Mytilus edulis: one gene and its partner. The protein of the gene in region 2 interacts with the protein of the main gene of each other region in a pairwise test. Links are inferred from orthologs where the notes say so. Each region holds a gene or a part of one and is shown on either strand. Other genes may lie near its edges.

Region 1 (16,526 bases), on a different chromosome or scaffold from region 2:
TTTACATATTTTCTACGGGGTGTAGGGTATTACCTTTGGTAGAACCCTACAGGTGGTCAAATATAAGACGCTTTTAATACGGAGACAGAGAAACTGGATTGAGTCAAATTTGGCGCTCAATGTTGTGAGAGTTACGTCATAGATGGTGTGACGTCAACATGGGTCATTTGCATAGCTAGGTCAGTAGTCCCATTCCTTGAAAATGTGGCAGTCAAGTGATGCATTTAATGAAATGAGAGTAAATGATCGGGATAATAGGACAAACTCGTTAATGAATTAAATATTTAATTACAAACATCATGGATAATCTACAGAATTCAATATTTCACAAGGAGCAATCATGGAACTAAGGAAAACTTACGTGAATTTCCCCAGGATAATGGTTAGCAACGTCTGGGGATATGGGTTAGCAACACCCAGGGGCTATGGGTTTTGTAACGACGTGTGTTAACCAATCAAAATCCTGGATATATACTAAGCAGGGGATAAGGTATCTTACAGTTCAGGGTATTAAAAACATTAACGTACAAATTGTTAAATTTTGCCGTCAGATGAGAAGTGTGAATCATGCATAAGAAATTATGGTTATAAATCAACAATATTTTCTACTTCTTAAGGATACATGATTAAACTCCTAGTTAGGAGTGTAAACATTCACAGTGCTTGTAATTATTCACAAAACAAAAAATCTACATATAAGCTTTGGTGGTTTAATCAGTTGGTGTGGACACAACAATACTGCAGTAACCAAAACAACCATCTAACTGTTCATAATGGTAAATTCAGAAATTATTGTGAGGCTTTTTATTGTTGTGAATAATGTGGATGAGTATAGCAATGATAAGAAGTTGTATTCTGATATCTGTTACATATATATCTGTATGCAGATTTTCCTAAAATCACAACTTTTGATCTCATATTGTAGTCCATTCTTGAAAAATCATAATAATTTCTAAATTTGCAGTACTGTGAAATTACTTTAATTCGTGGGTATCAATTTTCGTGGTTTGAGCAATATTTACATGTTCGTGGGGTTTTAAATTCGTGGATTTTTGTTTTCTAAAAAAAAAAATTGAAAAATTTAAGCCTTTAGAAACGAAAATTACAAATAGTCTGGAATGAAGGAAATTACGAAGTAAAGATTGACCCGTGTAAATCGTAGTGATAACACTAAATTACCCATGGATAAAGTCATCCACAAAAACCACGAAATTTGGTACCCCACGAAAAAAAGTACTTTCACAGTATTAGGTTTGTTGTACCCCACAGATAACTTACCCGTTTGTCTTGTAGTAACTGACTATTATTAATGGCTCCTATGTAGGCAGCTACTTGTATGGGATTGTCAAAGGTATCCTTAATTGTTGGTTTAGTTTTCTTTGAGGTCTTCCAATCCACCAAACAGAGTCTGTCTCTATAAAATGTAAAATATACTTTAATTTTAACTTTGATTTCAAGAACACATAGATATTGATCTTTGTAGTTCATCCATATCATGAAGTGTTGAGAATCAAGTAAAATACTGTGTATGTGAAAGTTAAATTTCCTTTGGGTTAATTAGTTTATAAAACAAATATCTCACTTCATGCTTCACCACAAGTCCTACAGCCCCAACAGAATCCAACTAAAATTTTCAAAAAACTGAGCTTCGGGGTTATATACTCAAAAGTTTATCATGAAGGCTGTGATGTACAATTAAATGAATTTTAGAAACTGCTTATTCAGTTTCTATTTCATCCTTATAATTAATGAAATATTTGCCACTAGACATGTATAAACAACAATCAATCAATCAATTTATATTCTTATTATGGAGTATTATCTGTATAACACATGTAATATATATTATGTCTAACAAACTCCCCAAATACTCAAGATATAGTTTTGTATAAAAAAATCTACAAATGTTTTTAATTTTTTAATTCATATTAAAAATTCCACTGTGAATTTAAAAGTAAGAACAGCAATGAAAGCTTTCCTTCCTTATTGTTACATACAGGGGAACATCAGTCAAAAAAACAAAAAGGAAAGGCTTGGGTTATCATATATTTCAATGTTACAAGAAAAATGATTTGTGGAAAAATATTTCTAAATGTTTAGGTTTACTGAAGAAAATGAAAATCTAAAATACTTTAAATGGAAGACACTGACACTGTGCTTTTAAACCTACTTATATACAGCTAAACAATCAAATTTTCCCTGGTAACAAAGGTCTTCATGCTTGACTGCTTCTTCTATGGCAACAGCTTCTTTCACTTCCTGTAATACCTTCCTGATACTATCCCAATGTCCAATATTGTCTTTATATATATCCAACTCTGTCTCAGGAATCCCAGATAAATAATGTTGAATGTTTGCATGAAGATTGGATCCATTTCTAAAAGTCTCTGTAGAAAGAAATTTATAAACATCTTGAGCAAATGAAGACCAAGCTCCTGAAGACAAAGTTGCATGACCCTATAGTTTTACAATTAAAATATTTGTTTTGATGCTCTTTATATATTTTTTGGTTTATAAATACTATTGATTCCAATTCTAGCCAAATATTTTGTCTCATTATAATGGTAATGTTTTATTGGTGATGGTAATTACATTTGGACTCAATGCTGGTTACTGTAGTTTCAAATATTGTGGTTTCATAATAGTTTTTTTTCAAATGTTTGGTGTCAATTGTGGTTTTCGGATCTTCTTATATGACTAGTAAATGTTTTAAGTAGTTTGTTATTTTGTTTCAGGCACATTTCCTTTTTCAAAACTTTTTTTATTTCCACCCATTTAATTTATTTAATGGTCATGATGATAACTTTTTATGCAAGAAATAACTTTTTAAGTAACAATAAAATTCTTGACTTCTACAAATTGGAATTTAAAAGACCTAGATCTGTTATCCTTTTTTTTCTGTTAATCATGCTCTTTAAGATTCATTTTAATGATTGCATAGTGATTTCTGAAACCATGTTAACTACAATGCTTTAAATAATCATTTAAGAATGTTGCATTTGAGGAAAGGGTATCTTTGTCACTATTCATATAAAAAATAATAAATACCTTCTTGAAGTTTTTTAAAACCCTCTGCTCCTAATTCACTGATCATTTTCTTCTTCCACCTTTCCAAATAAAACTTTGACAAATCTGACATTGTCTCACTAATTATACGTGTCACTGATGGAATTAATCGTCCTGCTGATTGTACCAATAAAGAATTGTCAACCTCTGTATCAGATCTGACCATAGGATAGGTAAGAATGTAGTCTATAGCAGGATCAATCTTCCTCTGGAATGGCACTTTACTTTGTTTATTTCCTTTCTTTTCATTGTTTTTATTTGACACTTCACTGTTTTTATCTGATTTCACTGTTACAGTCTGTTTATTTGAAGCCTTACTTTTAGTCAGTTTCACCAATTTTTCACTCTGTTTATGTGATTCTACTTCACTAGATGTGTGATATTCTGATTTTTCCTCACTTTTCTTACTCTTTCTATTAAGTTTTGGACCATAAAGATTATAATTATCATAATTAAGCTGTATGATTTCTTTGACATCGTAAGTTTTTGTAGTTTTAAATCGTAATGATATGTTGAATGAAACAGACAGATTTGATTTACTACACATCAACTTTGATAACCACTGTCCTGTTAACCTTGCCATCCTTCACAATCTGAAATCATAAAAAAAATATTAAATTTATAAATTGATATTTTCCCAAAAACATTCTCTAAAAGTCACATCAGACACATACAGACCATTTCAAATGTAAGAAATTGCTTGTCACAAAAAAAAACAATGCCTAATTACTATAAGAGGTTTATAATTTCACTTTTAAAACAAAACAAAAACAGGATAACCAGACAAACAACTTCTGTAGGAAATCACATTTAGCATTGTAAGATTATCCCAAACTGTCTGTATTACTACTTAAAGACTTGGCTAACATGTAGTTTTATCAAAGGTAGAGGCTGATTGGATTCTAATATGGTAGTGGCCCCCTTAAAAACTATTTTTAATCACTTATCTCATTAGTGTTACAAAAGACAACAACAATCAGATATTTTTACTGCATAGTAATAGTGTTAGATAGGCGTCATCAGGACTTTTATTTCAAGACAACAATGAATACCCAGTGGTATGCACTCTTTTTTACCCTACAGCACAATTACCACTTCAGGTTCATTTAAAGCATTACACTTAAATCTCATTTGTTCAACCAGTTTGAACCAAGCAATCATGCAAATAATCTTTGACAGCCTGTTAAGGATACAACATTGCTAATTGGATATAAATTTACTGAGCAACAATCTTATTTCAAATCTTTGGAAACTCTGATTTGTTATGAAAATTTTAAAAGGGATCAATCTTGTAAACATTCTTTTTCATAATAATTAATAACCTTAAGTCCAAACATCCTCAACAACATGCACATCATAAAAATTGATAAAAGAACAACTGCAGAAAATCTACAGATTTTTATGGTTGCAGGGTTATCTCCCATGTTATATCTTTGTAAAATTTAAAGGAAAACACTGACTAACCTATTATGGCTTTAAATACACCTAAGATGTATTATTTACATGTATCTAAGTTCCTTGTTAGGAATAAATAAATCTCTCTAACTCATATAAATAATCTTAATAATGCTATATATACTTTATTTGTAGTACCAAAAAATAAATAAAGATTTTTTTAATTGATAAAAATACATATATATATAGAAAAATTATTAATGTAAATACAGATTTAGTTACAATTTTGTTTCAGATAAGGGTGAAGGTTGGTACCTATTAAAACGTTTAAACCCGCCGCAATATTGGTTGTCTTGCACATGTCCTAAGTCAGGAATTTGATGTTCATGCAGTAGTTGTCGTTTGTTTATGTAGTTCATCAGTGTTTATATAAAGATTAGACCGTTGGTTTCCCCATTTGAATGGTTTTACACTATTCATTTTTGGGGTCATTTATGGCTTGCTGTTCAGTGTCAGCCAAGACTCTGTGTTGAAGACTGCACTTTGACCTATAATGGTTTACATTTACAAATTATGACTTGGATGGAGAGTTGTCTCGTAAGCCATGGGCGTAGCTACGTTTACGTCAAAACGCCCGGGCGTACACTTGAATTTTGAAAATAAAACAAATAATCGACATAGAATAAGAAAAACTGGTCAAAAGCACATCAGCCTTGTGCTTCTTTTTTCAATGGATTGTTATTTTGAATAAAAGGGACTAAATTTAATCAAATAGATCATAAATTTAATATATTTATTCAAATCTTTTGTAAAAGTCTGAATCTACTATAAATTCTACGTACTTTTCTTATATATTAATTTAAATCAATTCACTATCTGCTGTTTGTATTTTTGTCGAGCCTGTGATTTATGTTCCAAAATTGAGACAAAGCGGCGTCAATATTTAGGTTCCAAATGTGAATAAAGTCTTTGAATGACTCTCCATGAAATTTTACGAAAGTTGAACAGAAACTGTTTATGATCAAAAGAGTATTCAGAGCAATATAATAATGCAATTATATCTTTAATTTTCCCGCATTTTAAGGACAAAATTTATTTATTTCTGCAACTGATAAGTGGTTGCAGTTTGGGCTTACATTTTGTTATTTCTCAATTACATTAACTACTTGCATGACTTGTCGAACCTTCATCTATTTTATGAAAATGCAGCAGAAGCTTTTTCTATGACTAATGTCAAAAGCTAAAATTTTGAAAGCATTTGTATTCGTTCATTTTTCTGTTCTTTTCTGATAGACAGATAGCCGGACTCTTCTTAACGCAATTAATTGTTTTACATGCTCAATTTATATACCTTCATAGATTGTCGTGAAATATTCCAGATCAAGAAAAAAATATCAAAAGAAAATTTTAGATTTTTTTTAAATCCCTTTAAAGGAATGATAAATTGATTCACTTTATGTGGGAAGAAATCCAAGGTGAATTTTTTTATAATGCACCTCTTAGAAATAATTTTTTGGGTGTTTTTGGGTGCTTTTGTCGATTGTATGCTCACTCACGGCACCCTTTAAACTTATTTAAAAGTAATATTGGTTTGGACGTTTTCTCTAAATCCAATGATCATTTGGCTAGCTTCCAGTTTAACACGATGAATAAGTTAACATATTACAAAATTTAATCAAAACAAATAAACCATTCAGATTCAAAAGTATGTTGCTATCAATAATTTTTTACTGACAGGAATCATTGTGGTATCTCATTCTCGATAGCTTTTGGGGGCTTTGACCCTTTCGAACCCACTACCCGCAGGTGCTTTTGTGAGCCAAAATTTGTTCCTGTGAAAAAAGTTCCAGTGGAACTTATTTCACAGGAAATATGTTCTGGGAGAACTTTTTTCACAGACAATTCTATATAATTTGTTCCATCTCTATGAAATAAGTTCCACACTTTACTTGGTGAAATAAGTTCTGGGTTGGTGAAATTTGTTCCTTACCTAGTGAAATAAGTTCCATGTTTGTGAGAGTTGTTCCTTACCTGGTGGAATAAGTTCTGGATTTGTGAAATTAGTTCCTCACCTGGTGAAATAAGTTCCTTGTCTGTGAAATATGTTCCACTGGTTAAACAAGTTTTCTTATATACTGAGCACTTGTCATCAGTGAGTTTAAAGTCATTATAAAAAACATGTATTATATTGCATAATGTAATAAATAACCAGATGCTCCGCAGGGCGTAGCTTTATACGACCGCAGAGGTTGAACCCTGAACGGTTGGGGCAAGTATGGACACAACATTCAAGCTGGATTCAGCTCTAAATTTGGATTGTGATTAAATAGTTGACACAGCATAGGTTTCTGACACAGAATGAATGTGTTCTAATGAACTTGAAATTTTTGTTTTCTCTTAGAGCAATTCACTATGCTGTTGAATATTCATCCTCTCAAAAAAATGTTTGAAGAAATTTTCTTTTTTATTTATGAAATTTCAAATGAGAAAAATTGAACCCAATTTTTTTAATCACATCCCCCTTTCCCTTATTCCAAAACTAATCTCAATTAAAATTTCTAATGGAGTTTGCAACAATAACTACTCATTTAAATACATCATAAAATATTAAGATGTAAAAAAACTGCTTGTTATCACTGAATGGTAAAGATTATTTTAATTTATCAGTTGGTAGTAAAAAGTGAATATACATTGTATATTGTATATAACAAAGATTTAAGTTGATTCTGGACAAAGAAAGATAACTCCAATTAAAAAAAAATCTTGCTATTGCACAATATTTTGCAATTAGATATTTCTTGCTTACTATTCTGGACAAAGAAAGATAACTCTAATTAAAAAAAAATATGCTATTTCACAATATTGTGCAATTAGATATTTCTTGCCATTGCGCAATACTGTGCAATTGAAAAGACTTGCTATTGCACAATACTTAATATAATAATTTTAGATCCTGATTTGGACCAGCTTGAAAACTGGGCCCATAATAAAAAATCTAAGTACATTTTTGGATTCAGCATATCAAAGAACCCCAAGATTTCAATTTTTGTTAAAATCAGACTAAGTTTAATTTTGGACCCTTTGGACTTTAGTGTAGACCAATTTGAAAACAGGACCAAAAATGAAGAATCTACATACACAGTTAGATTTGGTATATCAAAGAACCCCATTTATTCAATTTTTGATGAAATCAAACAAAGTTTAATTTTGGACCCCGATTTGGACCAACTTGAAAACTGGGCCAATAATCAAGAATCTAAGTACATTTTTTTAGATTCAGCATATCAAAGAACCTAACTGATTCATTTTTTGTCAAAATCAAACTAAGTTTCATTTTGGACCCTTTGGACCTTAATGTAGACCAATTTGAAAACGGGACCAAAAGTTAAGAATCTACATACACAGTCATGACAGTTAGATTCGGCATATCAAAGAACCCCAATTATTCAATTTTGATGAAATCAAACAAAGTTTAATTTTGGACCCTTTGGGCCCCTTATTCTGTTGGGACCAAAACTCCCAAAATCAATACCAACCTTTCTTTTATGGTCATAAACCTTGTGTTTAAATTTCATAGATTTCTATTTACTTATACTAACGTTATGGTGCGAAAACCAAGAAAAATGCTTATTTGGGTCCCTTTTTGGCCCCTAATTCCTAAACTGTTGGGACCTAAACTCCCAAAATCAATACCAACCTTCCTTTTGTAGTCATTAACATTGTGTTTAAATTTCATTGATTTCTATTTACTTAAACTAAAGTTATTGTGCGAAAACCAAGAATAATGCTTATTTGGGCCCTTTTTTGGCCCCTAATTCCTAAACTGTTGAAACCAAAACTCCCAAAATCAATCCCAACCGTTCTTTTGTGGTCATAAACCTTGTGTCAAAATTTCATAGATTTCTATTTACTTAAACTAAAGTTATAGTGCGAAAACCAAGAAAATGCTTATTTGGGCCCTTTTTGGCCCCTAATTCCTAAAATGTTGGGACCAAAACTCCCAAAATCAATACCAACCTTCCTTTTGTGGTCATAAACCTTGTGTTAATATTTCATAGATTTCCATTCACTTTTACTAAAGTTAGAGTGCGAAAACTAAAAGTATTCGGACGACGACGACGACGACGCCAACGTGATAGCAATATACGACGAAAAAATTTTCAAATTTTGCGGTCGTATAAAAAGTGTTAACATCCAATCGGATCATGTGGAGTAAAGAAAAAGTTTAATAACATGCTCAAGTAATAATACTAAAAATGGTGCTTATGAGCCAGGAAAGAGTAGAATAAGAAATAATAATAAAAGTCATTCCGAAAAAAAGTATTATGGGGACGAAGTCCCCAATAACAGTAGAAAATTCAATAAAAAAAAAAAATTCGGGAAAATTTCCCGACTTTTCATTATACTAATGAACTCAAAATAGTTCAAATTTTTTTTGTCGTGTTTTGAAATCCCAGACCTGCGCAGAAATGTACAATGTACTTCCTTTTTCCGGTCTCGTTTGTATGAAACTTTGAGTAAAATATATATTTATCAGTCTAGTATAAAATAGGAAGGAACGTGCAATACCAATTTCATTTTTAATAATTCCTTGATATGAAAAAAAAGTTACCTGATGATAGCGTTTTTTTGTTTACATTGCACATGACGTCATAATTTAAATAACGTCACAACTAAAATCCCTAACAACAGAACCAAAATCGGAAACGTTACGGTATTTCCGTTTCTTTTTTTTAACAAATATTTTTAAGTTACAAAAAAATAATTCATACAGACTTCGTCCCCATTTACAGGTAATGCCTGCCTCATATTATAGTTGAAGATGAATATTTGTACTTTTTTGAAAAGGACAATGTGGCTGATCAATTATATTAAAAGACATAAAGAAACAAAATACACCGCTCTTTAAAAACTGTGCAATGACCATAGCTAAGTACATGTATGATTAGAACACCAATGACAGATCATCAGGAAACAAGGAGGTTGAATACCACATAAACGATCAAACATAGATACATTATCATCGCTTTTATTTCTTATCTTTATCCTAAAGTCATTCCTTCAATTGCAAATGTACCCCATGCAAGCACAGAACTTATTTTCTGTGAAATAGGTTCGAGCAGAACATTTTCATTGATTTCTATAAAATACCTTCGTTTAAAACTAATATCACAAGAACTTATTTCACTTTTTTTTAAATTTTAATATTGGAACAAAATTCATGGTGTTGTGATTTTTGTTCCGGAACTTATTTCACACTTAGTTAAAAAATTAGTTCCAGAACAAATTTTATAGTGCTGGAACATATTTTCTGTGACATAAGTTCCGGTGGAACATATTTCCTATGAAATTTGTTCCGGTGGAACAAATGTCACGCCGGAATAAATTTTTTGTTACACTTTAACATTGAGCAGTTGGCACCCCTCATATCCCTCACCAAGGTTTGGGCATACACGTAAAAATGACCCAGCTACGCCACTGTAAGCACTCGTACCAATCTTCTCATATCTATGTAATTATTACTTAAAGCCAATGAAGATGAAAAATTAAATTAATTAATAATGGACATTTTAAAATACAAGATTCAGCTTCATAATAATTAAAGGAAACTTTAAAACATGATATTGATACGTTTTGGGAATGGACATGTTTCAACGTCGTTTGTGCATTCATAAAACTGACATGTTTCGTTTCAGCGCCCGTTTGAAACTGTACATGTTTTGAATTCAGCGACGTCATATGGATAGTTTGACACGTCTACGGGAATCAGACAGGTTTGACAGGATGGACATGACGATGTTTCTCAGTGTTACATATTTATGTATAATTTATCAAAATATTATTCAGAAAAGGGACATAACTCTTACACAAGTAAATGCACTTCGTTATTATATCATGCCTTTTTCTTTGGATTGCACTGGATACGAGTTAAAAAATCTTGACACCCGCATTGGAGGTTTGCAATCGATTACAGTCTTTTATAAACAAGAAATTGGTGCAAGGTGCTCTATAAAGGGAGATAATCTGTTCCTAAACAAATAATTTCGGATTTCAATATTGCTCACAGTAAACATCAGATTTATAACCAACACTCATATTTCCTAATCATATAGGATTTTTTAAAAGTTTGTAAGTTCAATTGTATCATCTTAATTATCTTTTATCTATAAAATATTCTTAAATACGAAACCAATTCATACAAAAATCAAAATGGCTACTAAAAAGAAGCAAAAAATTGTCTCAAAAGATGATTTAAGAAAATTGATGAAAGAAAAGACCTTTTCCATTAAAAGAGTGTCTAAAAAGATTGAACACCCGTTAGCAAAGTAAGGCAGTTTTTGTGCGCTAAAAACTTTGTGGTTAAAAGAAAGAATGTAGGATAAACAGTTTAATTTAAACTGTTAAAAGAGGGACGAAAGATACCAAAAGCAAAAGGACAGTCAAACTTATAAATCGAAAATAAACTGACAACGCCATAGCTAAATATGAAAAAGACGAACAGACAAACAATAGTACACATGACACAACATAGAAAACGAAAGAATAAGCAACACAAACCCTAGCTGCGGAACCGTAGCTCTTAGGTCCTTATGTTATTTTTTGACTATTTGCGGACCATAGAGCTACGGATTTTTCCTATTTCAAAACGTTCGGAATTGCGACCCAGGTTCAGGTCGCACTTATTTCCCCAAAAAATATTGTTTATAATCCATGCAAAGCTTGTCAATAAATATTGTTCGTTTCGTTAGATATTTTTCTAGAATATGACGTACCTATTTATGTTTGAATATTCATTTCCTTAACACTATTATCTAATTATTTCCATTTGTATACATTCTCCGCCTATTTTATTCGGCCATATTGAATCTCGTCGTGACGTCACGAAAATCAAGAAAAGATAACTCTTATAGGAAAACACGTGTTGGGTTGTTTACGTTGTCTTTTATTTTATTTTCATGACTTTTTGAATGAAAGTAAGTTTTATTAAAGTTAAATACTAACGGAAATAATAATTCTTTCAAGTTATTAAAAAAATTCGTATGAACTAATGTTGTAAAGTCTTAAAAACACTCGATTCTCGCTTAGAAATAAGTAAACAAACCAACACGTGTTTTTCTAAAAGAGTTATCTGTTCTTGTTTTTCGTAGGCGTTCCTTACCTCCAACATAGGAGATCGAGGATATTTGAGTTATCTTTTCTTGATTTTCGTGACGTCACGACGAGATTCAATATGGCCGAACAAAATAGGCGGAGAATGTATACAAATGGAAATAATTAGATAATAGTGTTAAGGAAATGAATATTCAAACATAAATAGGTACGTCATATCCTAGAAAAATATCTAACGAAACGAACTATATATATTGACAAGCTTTGCATGGATTATAAACAATATTTTTTGGGGAAATAAGTGCGACCTGAACCTGGGTCGCAATTCCGAACGTTTTGAAATAGGAAAAATCCGTAGCTCTATGGTCCGCAAATAGTCAAAAAATAACATAAGGACCTAAGAGCTACGGTTCCGCAGCTACACAAACCCCACCTGCCACCAAAAACTAGGGGTGATCTCAGGCGGTCTCACTAATTAGCAACAACAAGAATTTTAGCGACAACAAAAATTATTTTAGCGACAAGAAACTATTTTTTTTAATTAAAATTAATTATTGCAATAAATATTAAAAGAATATGCAAAAGAATATAATTTTAGCGACAAGAAAGTTAAAATTGATAGAAAAAAATGAAACATTATTTACATAATATTTTATAAATAATAAAGATGGCAAAGTGTGGCTGAGAGTTCTACAAACAAAGCATCGAATTGACATAACAAGAGTACACTTAGAGCATAGTATTAAGCAAATGAATCAAAATATTATATTCCATTATGCCTGCTCCATATATATCTCCATTCGTTTATTCATACTTTGACTTTGATGAAAACAGATACATACATTATCTTATACACATTCTTCATATTTAAAAATTAAAATAAGAAGCTCAATCTCTTTCTTCTTCACCATGTTCACAAATGTTTAATTTCTTCATCTATCAATATACTAATATAAACTTCACAATCTCTTTCTTCCTCACAAATGTTTCCTCTATATAATAAAACATTTTAATTAGACATATCTCCTCGTATATTAAAAAAAAAAATTAAATACAAATTTCTTTATATCTAAAAAAAAAAAATGTTTTCGTCGCTAAATAGTCTTCTTGTCGCTTCTTGTCGCTAAAATAATTCTTGTTGACGCTTGTTGTCGCTTCTTGACGCTTGTTGTCACTAATTAGTGAGACCCATCTCAGGTACTTTGGAAGGGTAAGCATATCCTGCTCCACATGTGGCACCCATTAATTTAACATTTGACATGTTTTGTCCACAGTAGTTTTAAATCCTATCAATAACGGGGTAAAAATATTCCAAACTCTACTATCACAGTAAGGCTTCTCTCAAAGATAGAAGCGAGAGAAGCTCTACTGTGATAGTTGAGTGAAGCGAGAGAAGTTCTACTGTGATAGTCGAGTTTTGTATCAAAAGCAAGAGAAGCTCTACTGTGATAGCCTGTTTGCTAAATTATATATTATGTTAATAAGAAAACAGTCACATTCATAAATTAAAATAAATAAAACATTTTTAGCTAGTACACTGCAGTGAAAAATAATAAGTGTCCCTTGTAGTCTTAAATTTTTGTGTATATCCTTCAAAAGTGTCTATATACAGATATATATATGTTGTCCAGTACAAAGATTAGTATTGCACAGCCAAGTGGGACATACTGGGTTTAACAATGTGACACTGCGTATTACCATATAGCATGTTATTTTCACCGGTGTAAATTTTCGTGATTTTCATTGAATAAGGTATTCAAAATATTTTGGTGGTTATTATTTTGGCAGATTCAAAACTTTTCTCAAAACCTTTGCATGTACACTCTAAAATTGGTGGAATTTATTTTGGTATTTTGTTTTATCTCGAAAATGTACACCCCACGAAAATAACCTGCTTTACTGTTATATAAAAAACTAGCTCGAATATCATAGAAGATTCAGTGATTAATTAACGAATAATATCATGATTTAAAAGATATATACAGGTGTAAGACTGGATGTCTTCTTGACATAGTATTATAAGTTCTGTACTTGAACGAATATGGCCAAAAAATAACACTTCTTTGTAATTGTCATTCACGTACACAGAAAAACTAATTAGTTCTAACATTATCATTTTAGGTATAACAGTTTGGACCAATTAACATGTGCTTTGTGTAATATTGTTATAAAGTCTGATGCATTGTGGGTTCCCCATTTACAAAGTCGTCAACACAAAGAGGTAAAATTTTCACAATATTTAGAATTCAATTTTGTTTTAGCTAAATACTACATGTAAATTTATAACAAAGGTCGCGTATTGATTTTTTTTTTATCTAGTTTTGATAATTAATTTTTGTTTAACAATGGCATATGAAGAGATCAAGACTTGTAAAGTTTAAATCTCAAAAAAAAAGATTTAGATATATGAATTAAAACAGTGTTCTCCCCAGGCTATTTTAGCATTGCTGTACCAGAAACTACAAAAATCCGCATTTCACAATTATTACTATAAATAAACGAATGGCACAGTAGACAGAAAAAATATACCAAAAGAGGAAACTACGCATTAACAGACTATTTGTTAGATTTCTTCGTTTAAAATACATGTCATTTTGATGTAAAGATTAGAAACAACTGGGACAAATTCATTGAGTACCATGAAACAATGAATTTCATAAGACATGATAAAGAAAAAAGTTTTAAATTGAAATTTTATTGCTATATATGATACTTTTTTGTACTAGGTATTTAGTTTTGTATATATAGAGGTTGCATAATAAACCATTCATTAATTTTACTAGTAGTTGGATATAGGTAGATTAACTGAAACCACATATATTTTTATTTGGCACAGGAGGAAAAAAATAATTCTGTAACTATAAATGTATAAAGGAAACATAAACTGAAACAACTGTTTTTATGGTTATAGTTTAATTGTATTCTCAATAATGAATTCAATAATATAAACATATATAACATAAAAGAAGAGCATTGCCGCGATGCGACAAATGACATTGCAAAAAATACAGTTATTTTGTTTACGCCAAATGTGATGCTATCCAAAATTTCTGGGGAGAACACTGATTAAAAGTGATGTGTCGTTGTAAGTAAGGCGGTTAACCACCAAAGATCACAGAGGGATCTGTTCATTTTAGGTATTGCCTCTGAACTTTAATAATATTTATTTCTTCACAAATTTTCTTTGAGAATTGATTTTGAATAGATTTTTTTCAATTCATTGTATAAAAGTTATTTGAACATTTCTGTGTGTAAAAATTTACTGTAAGACGAACTTAGACCAGACAAGATGTTTGTAAAGATTTCAAGTTATACAGATTCAAAAGTGAAGTAAAATACTGCTTCTAGACAAGTTCTAGTAAAGGTTGAATATTTACTGATCATTTCAAAGACGTTCATTTTTAATGAAGTCAATATTATAATCATGAATGAATTGTTTTCAGACGGTTGAACTTGTTAAAGCACCTGGTCCAGCAGTACAGAAAAGAAAACTCCCCCCAGAACCTGACAGTCACAACAAAAAACAGAAAGGTATGCAGATATTTTCTGAATTATTACCAAAATCAAAGATATATGTAGGGGCACATTAGGGTATAGCAGTCCAATACACAAATAACAAAATGACATCTAAACACACAGTCTTCAATATGAAACATGTTGTCCACACAATATGTCAAGTTGTAAATTCATTTATATTTTCATTTGTTTGTTCAATCCTTCCTTCGTTTTCCAGTTCTTTGTTCATTTGTTTGTTCATTCATTATTCCTTCTTTCCTTCCTATCTTTATTCATTCACTCATTCTATCAATCAATAAATATAAGACATTATAACATGAGAATCAATAAAACATACATCTTTACATAAAATTATTAAATTTAAGTTTAACAGGCGGTTAAAAGTGGACCCAGTACACAGATATTTGTGACTGTGAGAGGTTCGGATCTTTATGAGGACTACAGGATGGGGTGTTTTTAAGCTCGGGATTTTTTGGGATTGATCCTTTTTGGATTAGGGAATTCTTTTTTCTAATTTGGATATGTCGGGATTTAAATTTCTTTAAATTTGGGACCCCCCCCCCCCCCCCCCTGACTGTCAATAGTAAAATTGATAACGGCAACTCTTAAAATACTGCATTGTTATTCCTTTTCTAGTGCTAAACTGAAAATTGAACTGTTGAATATGCAAGTAACATGGACTGTTATTGCATTATGTTATTGCCAGTTACTTTTACTCATATCCACATTTGCATTACCATGAATAGTTGCATTAGAATTAAAGTTATTGATGTCAGATATACCAACCTTTTGTTCTGAACAAAAACTTGTATATGTCAAATGTTATATTTTAATTTTACAGATAATGGAAAGACGAGGGGGACTGCTGGGTAAGATTTCTGTATGGTAGTTTGTCGAAAGATTAAGTTCTAGTTATAAATGCTTACACATTTTAGGTTGATGGAGAAATACTGCAAATGCACTAAACTCTATTCAGTAAGATCAAGATTATTGAAGGTTCAATAACATTACAAAGTTCAGTAAAATCGTTAGAGAAGGCTGTATGATAAAAGCCATGAATTTGAATTTTGACCATGAAGAAATATGAGGGTCTTCCTCTTCACACTTAATGCAGAATTTACATTTGTTACACATGTCTGTTTCTTACAAAAATGTCCTTGACCTTTAAGTCTATCTTAGAGGCCATTTGTGCAGTTTTTCCATGAGTTTAATTGCCTAAATCAGACATATAAAATATTATAAGATAAAGTTAAGAAATATTTCTCAATAATGTTTTGTATGCCAGTTTGCCGTAAACAATATGTTTGATTAACTTATATTTAAGATTACCAGCTAATTTTTATGATAACACATCAAAGAAAACAGCTTTAAGTTTGGCTGATTACTCGTCTGATGAAGAAAGTGAAGAAGATGAATCAACTGCAGCAAAAACAACAACT
Region 2 (16,076 bases):
ATAACAATAATATATAACATATAATTTGTCTAAACTTACCAGACTATTGAAACAGTGAATTAGGAAGAGGAGTAACAATGACTGTTCTCTGAAAGGCTTGCCTTCATGTAAACACGCCTGCAACATCTGATGGAAAAAATCAGCAAACTTCTCAGGTCTACGCTTGAATGTCTGGAAAAAAACCAACATTTAAATTAATTATATAATTTATCCTTTTTTTCACATAAGAGATGTTTGTAAGATTTGCTCAGAAAAATTGATATAATATAAACATAAAAATATCAGCTATAAATTTGCAGTGTGCATGCTTTCTGGTCAGGTTGTCAAACATGTTCACAAGAAGGAGTCTTTTCTATGCAAAAATACAGAATCATTTAATAATGTATGGCTCGTTATTTATATAGATTGGACACTAGTCATTTCGGGGCCCTTTATAGCTAGCTGTTTTTGATGTGAGCCACGGCTCTGTGTTGAAGGCTGTACTTTCATCTACTATATAATTGTTAACTTTTTATGCATTGTGAATTGGATGGAGAGTTGTCTCATCGGCACTCATACCACAACTTCTTATTTCCATGACATACAGCCATCACTGTCATATTTTAAATGTAATCTTATCAAAGCTCTTCCACATAACCTTACCTCCCATTGAGGAACTCTTTCTCTAAATTTCTCATTGACCATGGCAGCTATTGACAACTGATGAGCATAAGAACACTACAAACAAAAATAGATTTGATTTGATTTATGTTGTTTTAACACCACTTACAAGCACTGCATTCAGGCTATTTTGTGGCGGCCAGTTTTTATTGGTGGAGTAAGCCCCAGTGACTGGAGAAAACCACGACCATCGATAGGAAAATTAACAATCCTAGTCATTTAAGATTGGAGTTGAGTGCACCTGCACAAGCAGGGTTCAACTCACAAGCTCAGTGTTGACTGGCTAGTGATTACAGTAGTAACTACTTAGACCACAGTCACAGAGGAACCACAACTAAATGTAGAAATATAACATCATAAATGGCAGTTGTAAATGCAGTAGTTAAGATAAACAGTTGTCTTCTTAAATAAAATTTCTATTGTTTTTTAGTGTCTATGGGTTGTTGTCTCATTGGTGTATCTCTCACATTGCTTTTTATTATTAGTCAATTTGTGGATATAAGTTTAAATTCATTAGGGACAACAACAAAAATTAAAGGATGATTATCTTTCATTCATTCTTTGGTTCTGTCATTTAGATCAAACTGTAATAAATTGAAGAATAATTAGAACAAAGAAAGAAATATAAGTTTTACTACTATCTCTATATTCTTTACACATAAAAAATATTTAAAAAAAAATAATTTCAATATAATAACTGTTGATCCTTTTCCTTTTTTTGTTTTGTTTGGCAAACACAATTTTCTACAATTCCTGTTCAGGGCTGTTCCAGAAAATACTATGTCCCCCCCAGGGACGGCACTTTTTTTTAACCCCCACCACCCACAGAAATAAAATTTAATTAGAACAGCACTCCCTTTGCATTTTGGTATTTCAAATACAACCACCCACATAATATTTAAAAAAATTGCCTTCCCTGGGGGGGACATAGTATTTTCTGGAACAGCCCTCAATGGTTAGATGAAGAGTGCCTGACCTGCGCTCTGCTTATTTTTTGTTTCCTTTCACATTTGTAAAGTGTCAAAAATCACCTATAAGCCACTTTGAAATTACTTCATTTTTGTGTACTGTATTAATTTCAGAGTGTAGGACTTGTCATAAGGTAAGTTGTGGGTTTTGCTCACTGGTGAAGGCCATACAGTAACATATAGTTGTTAACGTCTATGTCATTGCCAATTATACTACATCTTCTTACTTTTATATAAAATTTGTACAGAAAATAACAACAAATAAGGATACAACTATTTTGAAAATTGATACTAAATTTTCTATTTTTTTCTTTTAAGACTTTAAATTATGAACTTAACAAGAATTGGTGAGGAATCGACAATAATACTAAGAAGCTTGACCACTCCTCAACAATAAATAACAACTATGTACCTGCGACTATTTGAAACCTTTAAAAAATTACCTTTTCTGAATCATAATTTGGCCATAAATAATTTTCTAGGTACTGACTGAAAGAAAAAGAAAGATATAATAATTTATAGCACAAGAATAATCAGACAATATCTTACAGCAATAAATATCAAAGAAATTTAAAATTATAGTGTTTTCCTGATCCTGCTAAAACATGTATATTTAACTTCACTGACTGACCTGCAGCAAGTTGAAAGTCATGTCTGTAATATGTGTAACTATTCTTATTCTTGCATTTACAGAAATAGACGCATGTTTTTTTTGCAGTCTATATTTTGGGAATGTAGATAATAAATTAGATATTGTACAATTACAAATGTATATCTTTGCTTCTTGATTTGCCTAAGTCTTTTTATTTTGTAGTACATGTACATTGTACTTAAACATTCTGGTCATCCAAAAATTATAGGTTGGCTTGAAAAAATGTTATATAATAAACATATGGTGTGGCCTGGTCACAAGAACATCTTCCTTAGTTGTTTGTTAGTTTGTAAAGGAACAGGTCATACAATGGGATTTTTATAGAAAACTCATCCACCATTGGTCATTATTGACTTTAGTGATACATCTGTATCAGGGGAGATAATTTGTTAAAACATTTATTGCAGACATGTATAATTGCGAAAATGGTAATACAATTGAAAGGAAACCATATAAATATAAGTAATACCTGAATTCTAACATCATGCTTCGTCTTGTTGAAAATCTAGAAAACAAATCATTTTAAAAATTATATAATCAGTCTTATATTGTAAAGCCACAGGTAAGTTGAACAGCCATATAAAGGAGCTCTTATTGTATTATTAGTAAGATGAAGTGAAGATATAAGAAAAAGAATGTAATTGTCATCCAACATAACAGTATTATTAGGGTCAGTGCATTTCAATTGTTTCTATTGTGCTTTTTTAAATAGTACCTTTTGTAAGGTAGATTCATGGTATACCGCCATCTTGGATTGAACAATCACAGTAAAAAATCGGTCTAGTTATTTGCCTAAATCTGCAAATTTGGAGACAGATTTGCAATTTAATGGTTAGACAGTTTAATAATATAAAGAAAACTTGGCAATTTATTGTATAATTCAAAATAATTAAACAAATATCATTTTATTTTGCTTTTTAAATCATTTTTTTCAACTGAGCCATTTAAGGGAAGATAACTCTTTTAGTAAAAAATTTATACTGGACAGATAGGGATTTTTTTTCTTTTTACTTGTAGCAAGAAAACAAGTTCGGTGACACCATTTTTTCTTCTTATTTTCTTAAAACATATTACAAAACCTATCTTTTCACAATTTATTTCAAAATTCTATCTCATAGATTATTTTTTATGCACACAATTGTGTTTTTCCATTAACAATCTAACCAAATTTAGGCAATTTTCAACGACTCATAGCTTGAAAAATAGCACGGTGACCCCTACTTTTTATTATATTTTTGAAAAGAGCATATTAAAATCTTCATTCTGGCTAAGTATAAGAAAATTCTGTCTCAAAAAAGATTTACTTATGATCTACCCTCAGCTGTAGTCTTTAGTTATTAATGTTATTTTTCCTTTGGTGGTGGATGCAGCATTTTATTGTATTTCTTTGTGGAAGACTCTGACAGAGTTAAAATGACTTTCAGATGTGTTTAGGTTTTTAATGCTAATGTTTGAAACTCTCATTAATTATGTTTTATATTATATATTCTACTTGGACAATAAGTTAATATATATCTAATTGATAATGGACATTTTATAATCAAAGTGACAATGATGCCTCAGGGCTTAATCCTTTATCCTTCTTAAATTAGAGACATTGCTAAAAGAGTTGTTTTAATTATTTATCTTTCTTTATCTGGATAATAACTTGTTTATATTTGTCAACACATTATGTAATAATTGATCTTAGCTAATTGTTTAATTCTCATATATATATATTGTAAAATGATTGTAAAAGACATAAGTTTAGAAGTCACAGGCTTGGTGACAAGTTCCAGTCTTGGAAATAAATAATATACTAAGTGGAATTCATCTTCTGTGTATAACTGCTAGTTTATGGTGCATGGTTATTTAGGTTTAACATTTAGTTGTGACCGAATCCTCATATCAGTCTCCCAGATATTAGACTGAGGATTTCTTGGTTACAAGACTATGTTGACCTCTGTGTAGTGTATTACCTACCCAGTATTGACCAGTTCTGTTCTATAAATGTCTTCAACCAACTACAAATATAGAGAAACAAATTTTACTCACATGAAATACAGATAATTACAGATAATGTTTATTATCAATACAAACTCAAATAAAAAAAATGTGAATTAAAGAACTTTATAGGTTTATCTAACAATATCTACAGTATAAATCAAAATTTTGTTACAACAAGAAAACACTCATAGTTTTTACTAATAACAAGAAAACACACTTAGTTTTTACTAATACTTTTTTCAAAACTTTATTGGTTATAAACTGACAACTTGAATTATCTGATAAATAAATACTGAAGTGAAAAATAGAGAAAATATGCCTTTTGTTCTTTTTTTTTAAAAAGATTACTAATTTTCAATAATTTAAAAAATAAAGTTGCATTCAAATATGACCTACAAGTTTTAGAAAATGATTTCAAAAACATTATATTCATTTACTGGTAGATATAGAAATACCTGTGGTTTAAACTTTGCCCCATTCTTCAAAGCTTCCTGTGACCAATGTAGTCCTGCCAACTGTAGTAGATATTAATAAGATATTATGAACAATTTATTGATACAAAACACTCTATAACTGAATATTTCAATAAAAAAAAAGGATTCCTAGATAATAAAAAATGTAACATCTTTTGACTTTAAACCAAGTTATTTGCATGCATACTTTATTTTGCATTTAGGTCTTTCTAACTAACTTTGCAGTAGTTTATTTTCATGATCTTCTTATTTTCTAACATTAAAATATAAGAAGATGTGGTATGAGTGCTAATAAGAAAAATCTCCATGCAAGTCACAATTTGTAAACTTAAACCATTAAAGGTCAAAGTACAGCCTTCAATATGGAACTGGGCTCACACCAAACAGCATGGTTTATTAATGGGAAGATCCAAGTCTCACACATTTGTGATCATTGAAAATTGAGATGTTTTGCTAAAAAATGTACTCTCGAAAATACTTTGTTTGCCAAAATTAGTTGGTTTACAGTTGAAAGCAAACGCTAGTACCACTCGTGAATATCAAATTTCACATGTTTTAATATCATATAAATGGGCCTTCGTACCTAAGATAAAACACTATACATGTACCTGTGTGATATTGTCTTCTTGAATCTGATCAACAGTAAGTGGTCTTGCTTTCTTTGTTTCTGCCATTATCTATGTTTTTCTTTAATCTACACCAATAACATTTTTTTCTAGTACTGTATCTGGATAATATATTATATCTATAAACTTGATATTTTGTCTTTCATGAAGTGATGAATCTTGGAAAATCAGGTAAACAATTTTAAAAGGTAACATAAATGTACCTCAAATGGAATCATATGATTGATAGCCAGTAATGAAGATTTCTTGCCAAAATTGGGTCTCAATGTGCTGCTAAATATTTTCTCAAAAGTCCAGACGGAAAAAAAGGCTTCAGCATTATGATGTAGTGACTTGTTAAAAAAATAAAATAGCCTTTCATTATTGTAAGCACTCAAGAAATTATAACCCATTTGGTAGATTAAGATAACCCCATGATTAATTGAGGGGGTAGGAGGGGTCCTGATCATGAAATCCCGGGCTTAAAAACAGGAAATCCTGAGGTCCCAAATTTAAATAAATGTAAATCCCCCATACCGAAATTCGAAAAAAAGAATTTCTGGATCCCGAAATCTCGAGCTTAAAAACACCCCATCCTGAAATCCTGATAAAGGTCCAATCCCTCCTCATTAATGTTTATTCCAGTGAATCCTTACCTGTTTTTTCAACTTGAAACAAATGGTCCAATATTAACATTTTTAGTAGGTATATAACTCGTTTGTGTGTGATATAATCTTCTGACATTTGTGCACTTAGTTGCTTACGGTTCGTTTACTTATCTGAAGTACACTAAAAAAAGTTAGTACTTGAACTCAGATAGCGGAGAAGTATGGATCAAATGTACAGGTTGGTTTAGAGTTTTATGTACAATCGAGGTGATTGAGAACAAAAATTATTTCCTGTATAAATCTAACATAACTTACATTCGCTCTGAAATCAGTTTAATAAGTATGCAAAAACAAAACGATTCAAAATCGTCGCTCACACATGCAGCGGAAGTTGTGAAGACGTAGTTAATATCAAAAACAATACACGGACATGAAATGTATACTTCCGGGCACATTAGTAGCACTCGAGTTCGCCGTTGTTTTTTTTCGTGTTTTTGTCAATATCGACTCAGTTTTTAAAGGTACTAGTAGGGTTTTTTCCCGAAAAGGAAAATACAGCATATTTTTGGGATGAAATCAAGTTAAAAAAACAAAACAAAACTGGCAAGCCCGGTCAAGTTATACCAAATTTAGAGCTGGTAGCGCGAATCATTGGCAGATGTTGATTCATGAAAAAGCATATGTGTCCCTCGTCAGACCAACATTTGAATATGCTAGTTCAGAATCGGACCCGTACCAACAAAATGACATTTATAGATTGGAAATGGTTCAAATAAGGGCAGCAAGGTATGTTACTAACAGATACCACAACACTTCATCTGCGGTTAGTGACATGCTTGAACATCTAAATGATGGACTACCCTACAAGAACGATGAAAACAGAGCAGACTGATAATGATGTATAAGCTTAATAACAACTATGTAAAGATTGATACATCAAATAAACTGATACCAAATGAACGTCCTTCCAGGAATAACAACGAAAAAGCATTCAGAATTCCATCCTGCAAAACAACAATTCGGAAGGAGTGAGTCGTTCTATCCTAGAACAATAAGAGAGTGGAACACCTTGCCCAACTGTAAGGTCACCGCCTCGAGTCCTGAATCTTTCAAGGCTCAGCTCCGTCAGTAAAAGTGACATGTCAAGTTTTATTTTGCACCTGTATATAAATTCCACGTAGTTTTTGTTGAATTAAAAATTTTAATCATGCACGCACTCCGTAAATGTGGCAGGATAGTCAACCAGTTGACGGTGGCCGCTTACTGAAAGAAGAAGAATAAGATCTTTTAGAGTACATACAATCTATAACTATTTTATCTTGACTTTTCTACACTTTACACAAGTATTCCCATTCCAAACTAAAAGACAAAATTACTAAGATGTTGCAAATCTTGTTGATTGTGAGCATAATTTTTACGTTTGGAGGACGCGTTTTTCATCAAACAATCGGCAATCTCATGGAAACCAATTGTGCTCCTCTTCTTGTCGTCATGTTACTTAATTCATATGAGACTGACTACATACAGGAACTTCATGGGAAGAAAAAAATGTAGTTAGTAGCATCCTTTAGTTCACTTTCCCATATCCAAGTAAGTAAGAAATCAAGTGACTTTGGTGACGTAGGAGAGCCGCCGTTTTGGGGTATATTTCCCAATATATAATGCATTTGTGCTTCAAGTTCAATTTTCTCATTAATCCTTTCAATTTTATTTGCACATAATTCTACCAAACAATATTGGTTCTGACTGTTTAATTATTGATGGACATTCGTGAAAATTGTCTTTTCATCAAATTTCGCAAGACAACCACTTGCCCACAGTTTGGTGGTTTGGGACAGGCACATACATTAATTGGCGCTGCTAAACACGTTTTTCAAGCACTCTATCCTCCAGAAACCAGAATATGACACGGCTTGACAGGTTTCCACTTGTATTTTTGTCCATCTGATGAGTTAAGCCTTTTTCGACTGATTTTTATAGTTCGTTCTTAGGGTTGGGATCCCGCTCACATGTTTAACCCCGCCACATTATTTATGTATGTGCCTGTCCCAAGTCAGGAGCAAGCTGCCTGTAATTCAGTGGTTGTCGTTTGTTTATGTGTTACATATTTGTTTTTCGATCTTTCATTTTTTTATATAAATAAGGCCGTTAGTTTTCTCGTTTGAATTGTTTTACATTGTCTTATCGGGGCCTTTTATAGCTGACTATGCGGTATGGGCTTTGCTCATTGTTGAAGGGCGTACGGTGACTTATAGTTGTTAATGTCTGTGTCATTTTGGTCTCTTGTGGACAGTTGTCTCATTGGCAATCATACTACATCTTCTTTTTTTTTATATTGTGGTGCCAGAGTAATAACAACACAATATCAGTATGAACACACTGTCAAAATTCGTTCGAAAATGTGACTCATCAGGTCGATACTAACAGTATTATTATAAACAAATAAGACAAAACACAATAATTACAGAAAGATTAAGAAGTACTCGCTGGTTTAAGGTACAAGTTTAACATATAAATAAACCATGTTCCTCAAGACTGAATTAATATCATATAAAAAGGAGATGTGGTATGATTGCCATGAGACAACTATCCACAAAAGACCAAAATGACACAGACATTTACAACTATAGGTCACCGTACGGCCTTCAACAATGAGCAAAGCCCATACCGTGTAGTCGGCTATAAAAGGCCTCGATAAGACAATGTAAAACAATTCAAACGAGAAAACTAACGGCCTTTTTTATTAAAAAAAATGAACGAAAAACAAATATGTAACACATAAACAAACGACCACTGAATTACAGGCTCCTGACTTGGGACAGGCACATACATAAATAAGGTGGCGGGGTTAAACATGTTAGCGGGATCCCAACCCTCCCCCTAACCTGGGACAGTGGTATAACAGTACAACATAAGAACGAACTACAAGTACATCCCGACACAAAAAGACGCAATGAACAGATCTGAGAGTACTCGCAGTTATTTGACAGCTAGTTCAAAGCCACTAACAACTAATAAAAAAAATGATGCATCTAAGACTAAACTATCAATCCGTACACATCCAACATCCAATGGATTTAGTGTAAAGACGTCATAAACAGCCAGATAAAAACATGACCTTGTGCACTGTCAATTCTTTGAGACGGGCTTGTATACATCTTACAATTCTTCGAAACATCGAGTATAGTATACCAGTTACTTTTAATGAAACGGACCAAGTTACGAAAGTTAAACGTTGATCAATGAAAATGCAAAAAATGAAGTCAATAGTTATAAGACTGTATATCTGAAGAAACTGATCAGTAAATTATTTCCTTTAATAAGCTAAACAAAAATCACACTTCATTTATATTACAAAAAATAAGAATATTGACATTTTAAGCAATAATCTTGAAACCCATACAAGGTAACAATTACAACATTTCTTAAGGAAAAAAGACTTTACACAGAAACAAATGTATCACCCCACGGCCGATAAACTTATTTCCTATATCAAAATCTGACAACTAATAAGAGTATTATTTTCAGATTTTGCTGATGTTAACCTTTAGAGAGAGAAAAAAACCAAAGACAAACAACAACAAAAACAACACAATAACCAACAATAACTATAAAACAATAAAACAACAACCAACAAACAAGAAACATGACCACAAGGTCAAGGTCAGATAAATCCTGTCGGACAGACAATTACACATTACAATTATGTCATGCAGCACATATAATTGACCTATTGCTTATCATAATTGAAAAAGACCAAAACACAAAAACTAAACATTTTCCAATGAACTAGCATAATGAAAATTAAGTCAGCTGTCAGACTATACCCCTGACAGACATGTACACCTTACAATCGTTCCATACAACCACTATAGTTGATCTATTGCTTATAGATTTGAAAAAAAACCCAACCCAAATCAAATCACATAAACTGTACATTGACCAATGAACCAAGGTCTGAGTGATACCTACAAGACAGACACGTAACACCTAACAATCATTCCATACACCAAATACATTTGAGCTATTGCTTATAGATCAAAACATACAAATTTAACATTTTTTAACCAATGAACCATGAAAATGAGGTCAAGGTCACACTTACATGTTCCCCTTACAGCCAATTCATACAGCAAATATCGTTGATTACTGCTTATAATATGTGTAAAAATGACGTAATCACGTAACTTTAACCTTAATCATTGATCCTTGAAATGAGGTTCAGCCTCAGGTAAACCCGGTTTAATTATACATCGCCAAATTGCAGAGGTCATCAAGGGACGGTCATTCAGAACCAGCAACATATATTATAAGAAGATTATCCACAATAGTGATTCTCCTCATGACGAATGCACAACATGAATTAGTTTTATTGCTATTGTAACAAGATTCAACACGGGACGCCAATCTAATTAAAATATTGATCTCTGATTACGTTATACTACATATGTAGTATAACGTAATCAGAGATCAATATTTTAATTAGATTGCACGGGACGCCTCTCTAGAAATCAACTAGATATCATTGAGATGGGAGCCATCTCTGTGGGCCCCGCTGTGAATAATCTGCATTAAAAAATTGTATCTTTACCATAGGACATGGGTTTGTCAACTGAAATCAAAGTTTTTGACCTTGACCTTTGACCTAGGAAGTTGTAAATAAATTATGACACACCCGTTGGTGTTGGTTTATAAACATGTCAAGTATAAACTTTGAAATGATAACGGTTCTCAAGATATAATAGAGCGGACACGATCTTTACCATAGGACATGGGGTTGTCAACTGAAACCAAAGTTTTTGACCTTGACCTTTGACCTAGGAAGTTGCACATAAATTATGACACACCCTTTGGTGTTGGTTTATATACATGTCAAGTATAAACTTTGAAATGATAACGGTTCTCAAGATATAGAGAGGACACGATCTTTACCATAGGACATGGGGTTGTCAACTGAAACCAAAGTTTTTGACCATGACCTTTGACCTAGGAAGTTGTACATAAATTATGACATACCCTCTGATATTGGTTTATATACATTTCAGGTATAAACTTTAAAATGATAACGGTTCTCAAGATATAGAGCGGACACAATCTTTACCATAGGACATGAGGTTGTCAACTGAAACCAAAGTTTTTGAACTTGAACTTTGCCCTAGGCAGTCGTTCATAAATTATGACACACCCTCTGGTGTTGGTTCATATACACGTCAAGTATAAACTTTGAAATCATAACGGTTCTTAAGATATAGAGCGGACATGATCTTCACCACAGGACACAGGGTTGTCAACTGAAACCAAAGTTTTTTTACCTTGACCTTTGACCTAGGAAGTTGTACATACATCATGACACGCCCTCTGGTGGTGGTTAATAAACACGTAAAGTATAAAGTATGAAATCATAATGGTTCTCTAGATATGGAGCGGACACAAAGATAAAGTGTTACGGACGGACGGACGGACGGATGGACGGACGGATGGATGGACGGACGGACGATCTCCACCACAGGACACAGGGTTGTCAACTGAAACCAAAGTTTTTTTACCTTGACCTTTGACCTAGGAAGTTGTACATACATCATGACATGCCCTCTGGTGGTGGTTAATAAACATGTAAAGTATAAAGTATGAAATCATAATGGTTCTCTAGATATGGAGCGGACACAAAGTTAAAGTGTTACGGACGGACGGACGGACGGACGGACGGACAGACTGATCACTATAGGGCGACCCGCCTAAAGGCGGGGCCCTAATAATTAAGCGACAATTATCAAATTCAAGTGATAAACAATGTACGATTCCCTCGTGTCTTAACCAACAGAGCTATCGGGTTAAATAATAGCTATACTTCAACTTATTCATAAATGTACCACTAAATTTATTGATTAGCTGGAAGAGACACCATGCAGGGAACGGCTCTAAAAAAAAAAGTGTGAATATGATTCTTCCCCTGTCCAAACCTGACAGGTAAGCAGTGGAAAGATATAAAAATATGATTTTATGTGTGTCACCCTCTCAATTTGCTCTCTTCCTTAGAATAAACACACTGTATTTTATAGGCCTATTGTTAGTCGTTACTGTGTGTGGTTTTCTTGTAAAAAGGGGGTCTTCGTCATTACTTCAACTTTGGTCAATATGATCATAGCTTTGTTCATTGTTGAAGGCCGTACGGTGACCTATAGTTGTTAATTACTGTGTCATTTTGGTCTTTTGTGGGGAGTTGTCTCATTGGCAATCATACCACATCTTCTTTTTTAAATATAGCCGTATAACGAACACGTTTAATTAATAAAATGCTACGTCTGAATTTAAATCTACGATGGTGGGACATATATCAAATAACTTGCATTTTACGCCTTTTTGACTTTTACGTGTACTAAGTTTTATATCCGATTTCAAATCTCAGAAATGTATATATCTGATTTCGCTGTCCACATATGAGATATTTACAAACTGTCATATTTTTTAACCTAATGACTAACACGGTTGCAGTCCTTAGAAAAACATATTTGGTCGATTGATGTTTGCTGATTGGCTTGTTGGATAGATACAGATATTTTATCTTGTTACAGGTCATCGCCGGACTCCTGAGAGAGTTATTGAAAGGGTTCGTGACGTTAACTCTAGTCTAAATTCAACAACAAAAAAGATTCGGTCAGATAAATTAGTTACATAGCGTGCTTCGCTCTCACCCCATATGGAATTTACTTACCCTGTATATATCGTATTAGGTCACTAACACACTATGTAACTAGTAATACCGTACAACCAAGCATAATACTGAGATACATTGTTTCGGCATCCTCATAATACGAGTGCGTCACCGTGAATTGGGTTACTGGATATGCATTTTAATAATATGCAGTTTACTTGACCCTTAATTCAAGTGTCCGGCAGTCATATAAAAAGATGAAAAGATATGCGGCAAGGAGAGAAGTTTTAGTCTTTTATCTTTTACTTGTTTTTGTGTGTGTTTCGTGTCGATCTGGTGTCTATAAAAATCTTTGAAGTTCGAACGGACTTTATACAGTTTTTTCATATGCTGTGCTATTATATCTCATGTAAGATGAGGGTTGAGAACTCGCACACATGTCCAACCCTGCCACCATTATTCTGTATGTCGTCTAGAGACTAGAGTCTGTAACTCATTGGTTGTCGTTACTTGCTGTTTGACTTACTAGTATTTGATTTTCGTTGTTTTAAGCCTAGATTATGCAGTTGGATTTCTCTTTTCTATTGTTTTACATCCTGTTCTATCAAATACAATTTAGAATATAGCATGACATGCTTACGAATATTGAGCATAATGAAATCAGAGAACCATTTTTTTGTAACTAGGTTGACCTTCTGTCGTGCCAATGCCGTGTATATAGCTTGGTTTAGATAAGAGGTTTATCATTGTTGAAGACTGTGCGGTGTCCTTTTGGCGTTCGTCGTCATTTTTTCTCTAGTGGATACTTGTTTGATGCTAAGCGAGCCAACAGTTCAATGTTCTGTTCCATAACGGATTGTCTTATAACATATAAAAAAACCTTTTGTTTATGTGTTACATATGTTTTTCGTTCATTTTTTTTTACATAAACAAGGCCGTTAGTTTTCTCGTTTGAATTATTTTACATTGTCTTATCGGGGCCTTTTATAGCTGACTATGCGGTATGGGCTTTGCTCTGACATTGTTGAAGGCCGTACGGTGACCTATAATTGTTAATGTCTGTGTCATTTTGGTCTTTTGTGGATAGTTGTCTCATTGGCAATCATACCACATCTTCTTTTTTATATTCCATCAAATACCAATATGACGTAGAAGTAATCAACTATAGGTAGCCTGATCATACGGCTTTTAACAATGAGCAAAACCCATGGTGGCAAAGCCAGCTATAAAACAGCCCCGGCATGACATATGGAAACAGTTCAAATGGCCAAAACAATTAAAGAAAAAAACATTATACAGCAACAAACGACAACTTTGAGTTCAAGAATATGTACAGTCTCTTCCTAAACTTATACAAAAATAATGTCAATTAAACCGTTCTATCAACACATTTTTTTATACATAATATCTCTATATATTCTATGTAGACTGTTCACTAAAACTCAAGTCAGATGCCTTTAATTCAGTGGTTGGTCGTTTTCTTCTCATTTTATGTTACGTCAATTGTTAAAATATGCCATAAATCAGACAGTAGGTTTCTCTGTTAAACTGTTTTACTTTTTGTCATGTCGTGAACTCTTACAGATGACCATTTCCTATGCATTTTGCTCATTGTTGAAGGCCGTACACTGAGTACACCTAAAGCTGATTACATCCACGTCATTTGGACTGTATTGGGTGGTTCCATTACTGGCAATTATACCACATCTCTAACTGTTTTTATATACTAATAATTACATTAGATGTATGTTTCATTATAATACTTTATTCTGATTGGCTAACTAGCAATCTCGTGATATTCCTTAATCAATTGCATTACACAATGCAACTTTTCATTCATAATGACACGAGGTCCCACAATAAAGTGCACAGGTAAATGAAATAAAAATTTGATAAAAGGCGTGTTTTCATGATCCTATAGGTAAAAATGTAATTATAAGTATTGAATGCTTTTTTTTGTAACTTTATAGGGTTGTAAAAGCGTTGACCGTGCGCACATTTTTAGTATGAAGCGCTTCCGTGCTTCATACAAAATGTACTTCGGTCAACGCTTTTACACCCCAATAAATTTTCAAAAAAGAGCATTCAATTCTTAAGGGCATACGATACAGTTTTGATCCTGTATTTACGAGTTCATGAAAATTTGCATATAGGCTATTTTTTACCTGATTAAATCAAATATGTAATAAAAAATATACCTTCATGTGCTACTTTTTGCGTAAAATGAGGTCGAAATTTTGTATATTTGCTCGAAATTCAGATTTGTGGCCGTAATTTCTTTTTCGAAAGAAAGACATAACTTTTTTGTTATAAAAGATAAAAACAAAATGTGTTTTGTTAAATAATCGGTAATTTCTGTATTTTATAAATATCTTTAAAAAATATGCATTTTTTTATTCATAAATGACTCATATTTATCAAATGCTCATGAATTGAGGAAAAAACGTAATTTTTTACTGCATGTTTATCACAATAAAAAAAAATCGTCTATTTACAGTTTTATAAAATTTGGGTCACATAATCTTCCTGCAAAATGAAACCAAATGCCATTTTGAAAAATAGGGGTCCATGAACTCGTTTTCAAATTAAATCAGTTTGAATGATAAAAATCAGTCGAAAAATGCATCTTTTCCCGATATGTCACAGTTTGACGTCGCGAAAATAACAAATTACGTTAGCAACGTCATTACCTTCCCTGTAACTGTATCGTATGCCCTTAAGTAATTACCATATTAAGTTTAACTGACCTCAGAGGTCGAACTCAAGACACAACACAACATTCAAGCTTGATACATCTCTGAATTTGAATTGTGATTAAAAATTTGACACAACATAGGTTTCTGACACAGAATGAATGTGGTCTAATGAACTTTAAAAAAAACTAATTTACCTATTATGGCCCAATATTAAAAATTTAAATACATGGATTGATTCAGCATATCAAAGAATCCTAAGCATTCAATTTTTGATGAAATCAAAGAAAGTTCAATTCTGGACCCTTTTGACATCAATGTGGACCGATTTGATAACAGGGCCCACAAATCTAATACACGGTTTCATTTAGCATATCAAAGAACCCCATACATTCAATTTTTGTTGAAATCAAACAAAATTAAATTTTGCACCCTTTCGACCTTCATATATGCCAACTTGAAAACAGGACCAAAAATTTAAAATCTGAAAACACAATTTATATTCGGCATATCAAAGAACCTAAATAATTCGATTTTGGATGAAATCAAACAAAGTTTAATTTTGGACCCTTTTGACCTCAATGTGGACCAATTTGATAACAGCTAGGACCAAAAAAAATAAAAAAATCGAAAGACATGGTTGGGTTTAGTATATAAAAAAAACCCACAGTTTAATTTTGGACCAACTCGAAAACTGGGCCCATTATCAAAAATCAAATTACATGTTTAAATTCAGCATATCAATACACCACAAGAATTAAATTTTTGTTAAAATCAAA

What was found.
Region 1: the proteins of RNA helicase aquarius-like (region 2) and zinc finger protein 830-like interact in a two-hybrid assay, tested with the Homo sapiens proteins (2 studies listed by BioGRID and IntAct, with this or other methods). The link is inferred for Mytilus edulis from reciprocal best matches to the Homo sapiens genes AQR and ZNF830.

The regions. Positions count from the first base shown.
Region 1 is NC_092346.1:5,107,593-5,124,118, forward strand, and holds the start of zinc finger protein 830-like, read left to right. Parts: upstream 1-10,650; 5' UTR 10,651-10,671; coding exon 10,672-10,787; intron 10,788-13,692; coding exon 13,693-13,792; intron 13,793-15,014; coding exon 15,015-15,102; intron 15,103-15,928; coding exon 15,929-15,956; intron 15,957-16,411; coding exon 16,412-16,526. Other genes in the region: mitochondrial genome maintenance exonuclease 1-like, read right to left, coding at 1,279-1,414, 2,171-2,387, 3,049-3,649.
Region 2 is NC_092352.1:28,522,663-28,538,738, forward strand, and holds the start of RNA helicase aquarius-like, read right to left. Parts: upstream 6,374-16,076; 5' UTR 6,268-6,373; intron 5,467-6,267; exon of another isoform or gene 5,461-5,466; 5' UTR 5,414-5,460; coding exon 5,348-5,413; intron 4,782-5,347; coding exon 4,722-4,781; intron 4,284-4,721; coding exon 4,243-4,283; intron 2,786-4,242; coding exon 2,750-2,785; intron 2,118-2,749; coding exon 2,072-2,117; intron 718-2,071; coding exon 643-717; intron 172-642; coding exon 40-171; intron 1-39.